Saccharomyces cerevisiae S288C: one gene and its partner. Changing the gene in region 1 together with any one later gene gives a genetic interaction. Each region holds a gene or a part of one and is shown in the gene's direction. Other genes may lie near its edges.

Region 1 (7,844 bases):
GGAATTTTACAGCCAGAGTACAAAGATAAGTATTATTACAGTAAAGAAAAAGGGGAAGAAATGGGCGAGGTAGCAAACGTAAATGAAATTCCGGTCAAGATAAGAAATCATAAGTATCCTGCGAAAGAACATAACTTGAGGGTTAAAGATTTGTTGTTAAATCGCAATCCGAAGCTATCAAAGATATCCACAGCATTTTTTATTGCTGGTGAAGAATTAGAGGGAAACAAGTATTGTGACACCAACAAAGATTTTAGACAGAATAGATATTTTTATCATTTGTCAGGTGTTGATATACCTGCTTCGGCGATATTGTTTAACTGTAGCACAGATAAGCTGACATTGTTTTTGCCAAACATCGATGAAGAAGATGTCATATGGAGCGGTATGCCTTTGAGTTTGGATGAGGCAATGAGAGTGTTTGACATTGATGAGGCCTTGTACATATCTGATCTGGGGAAAAAATTTAAAGAATTGCAAGACTTCGCTATCTTTACAACCGATTTGGACAATGTTCATGACGAGAATATTGCAAGATCACTAATTCCTTCAGACCCTAACTTCTTTTATGCTATGGATGAAACTAGAGCAATTAAGGATTGGTATGAAATTGAAAGCATCAGAAAAGCTTGTCAGATTTCAGACAAGAGCCATTTGGCCGTTATGTCCGCGTTGCCCATCGAACTGAACGAGTTACAAATACAAGCTGAATTTGAATACCATGCAACCCGTCAAGGTGGTCGTTCTTTGGGCTATGACCCCATTTGTTGTTCTGGACCGGCATGTGGCACTTTACATTACGTCAAGAATTCAGAAGATATCAAAGGTAAACATTCCATCTTAATTGATGCAGGTGCAGAATGGAGACAATATACAAGTGATATCACCAGATGTTTCCCAACTTCAGGCAAGTTTACTGCGGAACATCGTGAAGTTTACGAAACCGTTCTTGACATGCAAAACCAAGCAATGGAAAGGATTAAACCTGGTGCTAAATGGGACGATTTACATGCACTGACACACAAGGTTCTTATTAAACATTTCTTAAGTATGGGTATTTTCAAGAAAGAGTTTTCTGAGGACGAAATCTTTAAAAGAAGAGCTTCTTGCGCTTTTTATCCCCATGGACTAGGGCATATGTTGGGGCTTGATGTACACGACGTTGGTGGTAATCCAAACTATGACGACCCAGATCCAATGTTTAGATATTTAAGAATCCGCCGTCCTTTGAAAGAAAATATGGTTATCACTAATGAACCAGGTTGCTACTTTAATCAATTTTTGATCAAAGAATTTTTGGAAAAGCACCCCGAAAGATTGGAAGTTGTCGATATGAGCGTATTGAAAAGATACATGTATGTCGGTGGTGTTAGAATTGAAGATGATATCCTTGTTACCAAAGATGGTTACGAGAACTTAACTGGTATTACTTCTGACCCTGATGAAATTGAAAAAATCGTTCAAAAAGGTTTGAAGAAACCCCGTTCAGGTTTCCACGTAATCGTTTAGGTATTAACTTTTTTTTACTCGCTTCTAGAAGTTTAGTATATTCTTTTGTACACAGAATTGTATATTTTTTTTATAATCTTGGATTCACCATTTAACTAGATTTGGAAATATAAGGAATGGCACTGAAAAAATTAAGGACCAACCCCGAAGAGCAAAAAATGAATGCGAATTCTGTGGATCGAACACAGGACCTCCAGATAACTTGACCGAAGTTTTTTCTTCAGTCTGGCGCTCTCCCAACTGAGCTAAATCCGCTTCTATTTATGAAAAATTCATTGTTACAGGAACTATAGGACTATAATAACTAGCTGCTAACACCTTTAAATGTGACTTTTCTCATAAGGAAATCTAGCGATTCAGAATTCGAGAATTTTGCAGATTGCAAAGTTTTCTTTTTACCATAATATTTGAGAATGTTGTAAAACTTGAGATAATTATTCGGATGTCATTGTTGATTGAAGATAGCATTCCTATGAGTCGCCCTCGAGGACTTGGATCGAAAAATCTACATAATATTAGTAATTACTATTATTGTTGGAATTGGATAAACCGTCGTCCACCTATTTGAGAAATAGGTAATTATTATATGAGTTATTTGGTTCCTTTTTGTTAAAGTAATAATTTGAAATGCCATCCATTTGGTAATATTCATGTTATTGGCATATTATCATATGCGGTTCAGGAAGATGACATAAAAGTTGAGAAACAGTTATCAACCCTAATGGAAGCTGAAATGCAAGATTGATAATGTAATAGCATAATGAAACATATAAAACGGAATGGGGAATAATCGTAATATTATTATGTAGAACTACCGATTCCATTTTGAGGATTCCTACATCCTCGAGGAGACTTCTAGCATATTCTGTGTACATAATATTATGGTCTTGATCAACAATGCAATCCCAACAGTTATCAAATTATTCAGAAAATTGATCACATTTTCGATAAATCTATTATGAAAGTAAAATTTTGACTCATACCTAAGTTCTCGTTATTCGTTAATCTTATGAACTCATTAACCTTGGCGTTTCAGCATCCGCTATGATTACTAGTGCTTAAACCTTGTTATTCATGCCTCATAATTGATGCCATCTTCTAACCTCGAGCGTGATAAAATTTTTGTAATATGAACACCAATCGGCGGAAGATCATCCCAAAGCCACATATGATGGTGCCTTATAACATTAATAACAACTTCAACTGCTGCATACCGATAATATCTTGACGATTATGCATTCGTGTCCTGATAGCTAATGCCATGAAACAATTCTTTTCAATCGCACTTGCACCTTCGTGAAATAGAAGGGTTATCTGGGCTTATCAGACTTGTCCACAGTTTACATATAATTTTTTTTCTGTATTAAATTTTGTGAGCTTTCTTTTTACTCAAACGAACTGTGTTATTTTTCGTTCATTAAATGCGTACCTTTAAGCATCATCAAGTATTGCTCTTCGGGAAAAATGAAGTAACCTTGTTAGGTTAATTTCACTAGTACTATACATATTTTATCCTGTATCATACCAGAGGATCATTCTAGCCACAATGGTCGATACGCATAAACTAGCAGACGACGTTCTTCAGCTATTGGATAACCGTATCGAAGATAATTATAGGGTTTGTGTTATCCTAGTCGGTTCTCCAGGCTCCGGTAAGTCTACTATTGCGGAAGAACTTTGTCAAATTATAAATGAAAAATATCACACATTTTTGTCAGAGCATCCAAATGTTATTGAGGTTAATGATAGGTTGAAACCTATGGTTAACCTAGTAGACTCTTTAAAGACGCTCCAGCCCAATAAAGTAGCTGAAATGATTGAAAATCAGGGGCTGTTTAAAGATCATGTTGAGGATGTTAATTTTCAACCAGTCAAGTACTCAGCCCTTACATCAAATAATGAAGAATGTACCGCAGTAGTTGCCAGAGGTGGTACTGCGAATGCCATAAGAATCGCAGCAGTTGATAATCCAGTCAATGTTAACAAGTTGGCCCAGGATAGTATCAATATAGCGCAAATAGTCCCAATGGATGGTTTTCACTTATCTCGCAGATGTCTAGACCTATTCAAAGACCCACAAACTGCCCATAAAAGAAGAGGTTCGCCCTCAACGTTTGACAGTAACAATTTCTTACAATTGTGTAAAATTCTAGCCAAGACGTCCCTATGTAAGGTCTCCTCACATCATAAATTTTACTCCACTTCAAGCGTTTTTGAGAAGTTATCCAAAACTTTTAGCCAAACAATTCCTGATATCTTTGTTCCAGGATTTAACCATGCACTAAAAGACCCAACTCCAGATCAGTACTGTATTTCCAAATTTACAAGGATAGTTATACTTGAAGGGTTATACCTACTGTATGACCAAGAAAACTGGAAGAAAATTTACAAAACATTAGCTGATACGGGAGCACTTCTTGTTTATAAGATTGACATAGACTATGAGGCCACCGAAGAAAGGGTGGCCAAAAGGCATTTGCAATCAGGGTTAGTCACGACTATTGCAGAAGGACGAGAGAAGTTTCGCAGCAATGATTTGTTGAATGGCAGGGATATAGATAATCATTTAATTAAGGTAGATAATATCGTCCATATCCGCAACGACTAGAAGGTTAGGCGGAACCTTGTATATATTTTTGTAAAATCGAACTGAATACAGATAATTAAGGCGCGCAAGCAAAAACGGCATTCTTTATGAACTCTGCAGAGGTGCCCTTTATTACGACATATATGGGAAGTAATACATATTGATTCTACAAGAAGTTCAAGCCAAGGTTTAGATATGAGTGACCAAATCAACGTTTTGTCAATGCAACAACAACAACAGCAGCAGCAGCAGCAGCAGCAAGTATATATGTCTCCTCAAGCAGAAAACTTGAATCATATGTACTTGTTAGTTAACAAGCTAGTGAAACAGTTGAGGGAAAATCAAGCAGAAAAGGCGAAAATACTAAGGAACATAGACATATTATCCGGAAGCTTAAACAAGTATGAGACATCTGAAGAACCTCACGATACCACGGAAAATATTGCATTATTTAATAGATTTCTAGAACAAAGAGGGAAAGCTCCTATTACTGAGAAAGAGCAACTAAGCAACAATCTGGATGAAAATGCGAAAGATGACGTTATGCTAGGAGTGTTGAAGCGCCAAAATTCAATGCTCCGGAAAAGTTTACAGGAATCCAAGCAGGTAACCCTTGAATCCATGGATTTATTGTCTTACTCCGAAGACTCTTTAAATTACATTGTCGCCCAATTAAGAGGAAACATTCTAATGCATCATAAAGAGACTATCAAATTGATTAGGCAGAAATTCCAGACGGAGACAATTCCCCTCGAAGATGAAGAGTTCAAGATGTATTTGGAAAATGTTAATGGTCTGCAAAAATTGACAGATATATCTCACACTTATAGATTACTACTGAGGTTACATGCACAAGATTGAAACTTTGCCCTTTTGCTTCCAATGAAAGCAAGATGACAAATATACATGCTTCTTATATTCGAGATTGCGCAAAAATTCGAAGCTCATTTATGAAGGCTTTTTCCATTCTGATATATGTTTATGAAATTGAAAAAGTAACGACGGTGGAACATTTTGCGGGAAAACAACTCACAGAATGTCTTGACGTTCTTTTCCTGCAGTTGCGTGCGTAAGATATCCTAAGCTACTGTATTATTTGCCAAAAATAATAAAATGTTGGAGGAAAGCCTCTATAAATACACAGGATATATATGTTTAATAAACATATATAATTTCCTCAATATTTGCAAAAGCATTTTGTTGTGATGAGAGTCGATTATCGTTTACCGATTAGTATCTATACTATTAATATATTTTCATATAATTAGTATAATCTCATATACGCTGCCAGAAGATAACATGAAAATTAAGAAACAATCATCAGCTTCAATGGAAGTTGAAGTGCAAGGATAAATAATACTATTTAGAAATATGGATTTTCCCTCGTTGACTAGAAGATCTGTGAAGATTGGGTGAATAGTTTAATAATTATTGGATCCCATTATTGATCAAGGCTATAATACTTGACTATTTGGCGAATTTTGAGATAATTGTTGGGATTCCATTGTTGATAAAGGCCATAATATTATGTATACAGGATATACTAGAAGTTCTCCTCGATGATATAGGAATCCTCGAAATGGAATCTATATTTCTACATACTAATATTACGATTATTCCTCATTCCGTTTTATATGTTTCATTATCCTATTGCATTATCAATCCTTGCACTTCAGCTTCCTCTAACTTCGATGACAGCTTCTCATAACTTATGTCATCATCTTTACACCGTATATGATAATATATTGATAATATAACTATTAGTTGATAGACGATAGTGGATTTTTATTCCAACACACTAATTATCATTCGTTACATCTCAAATTGGTTAGAGAAGTTACAAACATTATTATTGATTTATCCAAGGATAGTTTTCACAAGAAAACAAGCGCAAGTGGTTTAGTGGTAAAATCCAACGTTGCCATCGTTGGGCCCCCGGTTCGATTCCGGGCTTGCGCAGTTTCTTTTTTTTCTGATTTTTATTTTTTTGTTCCTGAAAATTTTTCGTATTATTAGATCTAGTAGAAAATGAAAGACATTTGAAAAGAGAAATATATATTCTGCAGTAAGCTAGCTAAGACTAGTCGTTTTGAAGCGCTAAAACGTTAACTTCGATTCATAGCACAAAAGGTAAATAACTTTTTTGAAATGGCAAGCATCGGTTCGCAAGTGAGAAAAGCTGCTTCTAGTATTGACCCTATCGTCACGGATTACGCAGTGGGCTACTTTAACCACTTGTCCGGAATAACTTTTGATGCTGTTCAAAGTAAGCAGGTAGATTTGTCCACTGAAGTGCAATTTGTGTCCGATTTATTGATTGATGCGGGTGCGTCAAAGGCTAAAGTTAAAGAACTATCGGAAAGTATTTTGAAGCAATTGACTACTCAACTAAAGGAGAACGAAGCCAAATTGGAATTGACCGGTGATACGTCCAAGAGATTACTTGATATTAATGTCTTAAAGAGTCATAACAGTAAATCCGATATCAACGTCTCATTAAGCATGCTGGGTGTGAACGGTGACATCGAACATACTGGTAGAAAGATGGAAACAAGAGTTGATTTGAAAAAACTGGCCAAGGCTGAACAAAAGATCGCAAAGAAAGTCGCCAAGAGAAATAACAAATTTGTTAAATACGAGGCTTCTAAATTGATCAATGACCAAAAGGAGGAGGATTACGATTCTTTCTTTTTGCAAATCAACCCTTTAGAATTCGGTTCATCCGCTGGTAAATCCAAGGATATCCATATTGACACTTTCGACTTGTACGTTGGTGACGGTCAAAGAATTTTGTCCAACGCCCAATTGACTCTAAGTTTTGGTCACAGATATGGTCTTGTGGGCCAAAATGGTATTGGTAAATCTACTTTGTTAAGGGCTCTATCTAGAAGAGAGCTGAACGTCCCCAAACATGTTTCGATTTTACACGTGGAACAAGAGTTAAGAGGTGATGATACAAAGGCTTTACAAAGTGTGCTGGATGCAGACGTTTGGAGAAAACAACTATTAAGTGAAGAAGCCAAGATCAATGAAAGATTAAAGGAAATGGATGTATTAAGACAGGAATTCGAAGAAGACAGTTTAGAAGTTAAAAAATTGGACAATGAAAGAGAAGACTTGGATAACCATTTGATACAGATTTCTGACAAATTAGTCGATATGGAATCTGACAAGGCTGAAGCTAGGGCAGCATCAATCTTATATGGTTTGGGGTTCAGTACGGAGGCACAGCAACAACCCACTAATTCCTTTTCCGGTGGTTGGAGAATGAGATTGTCCTTGGCAAGAGCCTTATTCTGTCAACCAGATCTTTTGTTGTTAGATGAACCTTCCAATATGTTGGATGTGCCATCCATCGCTTATTTAGCAGAGTATTTGAAAACATATCCAAATACAGTTTTGACAGTTTCTCACGACCGTGCATTCTTGAATGAAGTGGCTACAGATATCATTTATCAACACAACGAAAGACTAGACTATTACAGAGGCCAAGATTTCGATACCTTTTACACCACAAAGGAGGAACGTAGAAAGAATGCTCAACGTGAGTATGATAACCAAATGGTTTACAGAAAGCACTTGCAAGAGTTTATTGACAAATACAGATACAATGCTGCCAAATCACAGGAAGCTCAATCAAGAATTAAGAAATTGGAAAAATTGCCCGTTTTGGAGCCACCTGAACAAGACAAAACCATTGATTTCAAATTCCCTGAATGTGATAAATTGTCTCCACCAATTATCCAAT
Region 2 (4,026 bases), on another chromosome or scaffold:
AACGATGACAAATATGGACCTTTGTTTGGTTTGAACACCATTCCTGATCAGTGACGGGATTCTTGAATCGATAGCTTTTTTGGCCATTTTCTCCTTGTTTTATAAGTCTCTTATAAGTCTTTGCAAGTTAAAAACTAAGAAATATAAAAGGTGACTTGGCTTATATACTCTATTGCGTACTTTATTTGAGATAAATACAGAATCTCCATGCATCTTCAGCACCTCATCTCATCTCATTGTATCTTGGCTCTTCATTTTTTTTTTTCAAAATTTTTCACACGATTCCGGGTAAACTATTACTTTTTACAACTAATTCAGATATACCTGGGAAGTTACAATGGAAAACATGCAATGTTCGGTCTGGCTTGTATCATTTGATTGGAAAAGCGAGCATCGGTTGATACTGAACACATCCACATGCGTAATCATTAAAAAAAATTTTTCAAATTGCGAACTCTGTGGATCGAACACAGGACCTCCAGATGACTTGACCGAAGTTTTTCTTCAGTCTGGCGCTCTCCCAACTGAGCTAAGTCCGCTTATTTTTCTGAAACCTTTTCCGCCTTTTTGTCGTCCCTAGGAATTACTTTTGATGCACTGCCAATCTGAGGGAAAAATGACGTTTAAACGCACGAGAATGTGCAATTAGATGTAAGTCCATCGAAGCCTAGAGAAAGCGGTTCCAACAAAAGACTGTGGGCTCTGTTATATCATCATGTCATCTACCAGTGATAATAATGCTAATAGTGCAAGAGAGAAAAAACCACTGAAATTCGTGTCAGAAGGAGTTGGTAATGTAGAGGCCCAGAGGATACGAGAGCAAGTGGAGCAAAAAAAATATGAAGCGGAATATAAAAGGAAAACCAGGAAGTCCCTGCGAGATCAGCTTAGGTCTAATGCTATTAGTAAACAAAAACAATATAACGGTTTGGTGAGAGACCGTGAAAGTTTTACTAGGTTGAGTAAAGAGGACCTGGAATTTTACCAGAAGAGCAAGAATGAGTTGCTAAAAAAGGAAAAAGAACTGAATAACTACTTAGACGTCAAGGCAATCAATTTTGAAAAGAAAAAAAAAGCATTACTAATGGAGAACGATTCTACTACTAATACAGAAAAATATTTAGAGACCGGCACTAGTTTGGGCAGTAAAACACAAATAAAGGGCGTAAAGACATCCAGCCCTAAACCAAAAATCAAGGTATCCATAAAAAAATTGGGTAGAAAACTGGAGAACTGATGTGATGGCCTACACACTTCGTCACAACTAGAGCTTTATGCCAAGATTAAACTTCAAGTTATATAAATTATGTAAACATTGGACATACAAAACTCGGAAACTCTTTTTCTATTCATCTTCCCTTCTCGTACGTGCCCACGGAAGCAATAAAAAGAACCGAAATAACCAACACCCGTAACGTCAAAGCATTCATGCTTAGAATGGAAACCATTTCGTGGAATGAAATGGCAAATTGATCACATTGATTGCTCGTTCCACTACCTGTGTCCGCAATTTTTTAATGGTCATCACAGCCCCTGCTGACTAAAGTTCCTCGGATCCGCTTACGGTTGTCGCGCGGTTCCGCCCCTGCGTACTCTTAGTACCTAGCATATGGGCTCCCTCCGTTGGATTGGCATCGATTAGTAAGGACAGATGTTAAGGATTTAAGACCGTTTTTAAGGTATTTCGGCAATGCTTCGATTTAAAAGGAGAGAGTTTTTTTTTTGCCGTTTTCTTCCTCTCACTTCTTGATTAGTACTGTAATTCTAGTTGAAAAAAAATCGTTAACTATACACAGCAAAAAGCAATATCATACTGCATATCAAGCATGTCCGCCTCGATTCCAGAAACCATGAAAGCCGTTGTCATTGAAAATGGCAAGGCTGTAGTCAAACAGGACATTCCAATTCCTGAATTAGAAGAAGGATTTGTTCTAATTAAGACTGTCGCCGTTGCCGGTAACCCTACCGATTGGAAACATATTGATTTCAAGATTGGTCCTCAAGGTGCCCTCTTAGGCTGTGATGCAGCCGGCCAAATCGTAAAGTTGGGCCCAAATGTTGATGCTGCACGCTTTGCCATTGGTGATTACATTTATGGGGTTATTCACGGTGCTTCAGTGAGGTTCCCCTCAAACGGTGCCTTTGCTGAGTACTCTGCCATTTCATCCGAGACTGCTTATAAACCAGCCAGAGAGTTTAGATTGTGCGGTAAAGACAAGCTACCAGAAGGCCCCGTAAAATCTTTAGAAGGGGCAGTATCCCTCCCAGTCTCATTGACCACGGCTGGTATGATCCTTACACATAGTTTTGGCTTGGACATGACATGGAAGCCCTCCAAAGCGCAAAGAGATCAACCCATCTTATTTTGGGGTGGTGCCACTGCTGTTGGCCAGATGCTTATTCAATTGGCAAAAAAACTAAACGGTTTCAGCAAGATCATCGTCGTTGCTTCTCGTAAACATGAAAAATTGTTGAAAGAGTACGGTGCAGATGAACTTTTTGACTACCACGATGCTGACGTTATCGAACAGATAAAAAAGAAGTACAACAACATTCCTTACTTGGTGGACTGTGTCTCCAACACAGAAACTATTCAACAGGTGTACAAATGTGCCGCTGATGACTTAGACGCTACGGTCGTTCAATTGACCGTTTTAACCGAAAAAGATATCAAGGAGGAAGACAGGAGGCAAAACGTCAGTATTGAAGGAACCCTTCTATATTTGATAGGAGGTAACGACGTCCCATTTGGCACGTTTACTTTGCCAGCAGACCCTGAATACAAGGAAGCCGCCATAAAATTTATTAAGTTCATCAATCCAAAAATCAATGATGGTGAAATCCACCACATCCCAGTGAAAGTTTACAAGAACGGGTTAGATGATATCCCACAGTTACTTGATGATATTAAGCACGGGAGGAATTCTGGCGAAAAGTTGGTTGCCGTCTTGAAATAAATAATCTATAGCTACTTATGTATATAGCGCTTGATCATTCTGTTTACCTCCACATTATAGTGCCGTTCAATTCCCCTCACCCGCCTTAGTCTTTTTCGGGCAAAAAAAATTGCCGGAAGAGAGACGTCGTTGAAAGAATTTGGTGGATAAACTCGTGAAAGCTTAAAGTAAGGCCTTTCACCTAAACTCGAGTATAAGCAAAAAATCAATCAAAACAAGTAATAATGTCTGAAGTAATTGAAGGTAACGTCAAAATTGACAGAATTTCCCCAGGTGATGGTGCCACCTTCCCAAAGACAGGTGACTTGGTTACCATTCATTACACCGGTACCTTGGAGAACGGCCAAAAATTCGATTCCTCCGTTGACAGGGGCTCTCCATTCCAATGTAACATCGGTGTCGGCCAAGTCATCAAGGGTTGGGATGTTGGTATTCCAAAGTTGTCTGTTGGTGAAAAAGCTAGGTTAACCATCCCTGGCCCATATGCTTATGGCCCACGTGGTTTCCCAGGTTTGATTCCACCAAACAGTACTTTGGTTTTCGACGTCGAATTGTTGAAGGTCAACTAAAAGCAAAGTACTATCAATTGAGCCGCCTTTCTGCTTTTTATTTATGTTTATGGTAAGTATCTGAGCCTTAATTGAAATAGATATATAATTACAAAAGATTAGACAAGGAGAAGCATACGTATATTCTATTTCTTCATTAAGGTTATTTTATTCTATATCTGCTACACTACATTAAATACAGATACCTCTATGGAACGGATGAGCGTTTATTATCGCGATCTATATATGAGCAGTGATTATTTTTTATTTCGTAGCCTGCTGGAAACTCTTGTGGCAGGAGGGCTATTTTTACGAGAGCCTGCCTTCCGCCTTTTCCTTTTCGGCGAGGTTTCATTGCTAGTATTACCTGTGGATGATGAATGCCTAGTTCTCTTTGCTAATGGTTCATTTTTGTCCTTAGAATCCTTTTTGGTATCATCCTGTTGATCATCTCCTTTTTTGTTTTCCGTTTTTTTCTTTAAGTTGCCCCCTTCTGATTCAATTTGTTTTCCTTTACCTTC

Evidence for each region. Genes that interact genetically often act in the same process or in processes that back each other up.
Region 2: mutations in GCN20 (region 1) and FPR1 together harm fitness more than expected from each alone (negative genetic interaction), as found in Saccharomyces cerevisiae (3 studies listed by BioGRID, with this or other methods).

The regions. Positions count from the first base shown.
Region 1 is NC_001138.5:156,244-164,087, forward strand, and holds the start of GCN20 (putative AAA family ATPase GCN20), read left to right. Parts: upstream 1-6,244; coding exon 6,245-7,844. Other genes in the region: YFR006W (putative Xaa-Pro dipeptidase), read left to right, coding at 1-1,509; YFH7 (Yfh7p), read left to right, coding at 3,056-4,117; FAR7 (Far7p), read left to right, coding at 4,292-4,957. UniProt on the Saccharomyces cerevisiae protein: Acts as a positive activator of the GCN2 protein kinase activity in response to in response to low amino acid, carbon, or purine availability.
Region 2 is NC_001146.8:371,382-375,407, reverse strand, and holds FPR1 (peptidylprolyl isomerase FPR1), read left to right. Parts: upstream 1-3,181; coding exon 3,182-3,526; downstream 3,527-4,026. Other genes in the region: ribosome biosynthesis protein KRE33, read right to left, coding at 1-87; FYV6 (Fyv6p), read left to right, coding at 716-1,237; YNL134C (uncharacterized protein), read left to right, coding at 1,827-2,957; EAF7 (Eaf7p), read right to left, coding at 3,763-4,026. UniProt on the Saccharomyces cerevisiae protein: PPIases accelerate the folding of proteins. It catalyzes the cis-trans isomerization of proline imidic peptide bonds in oligopeptides.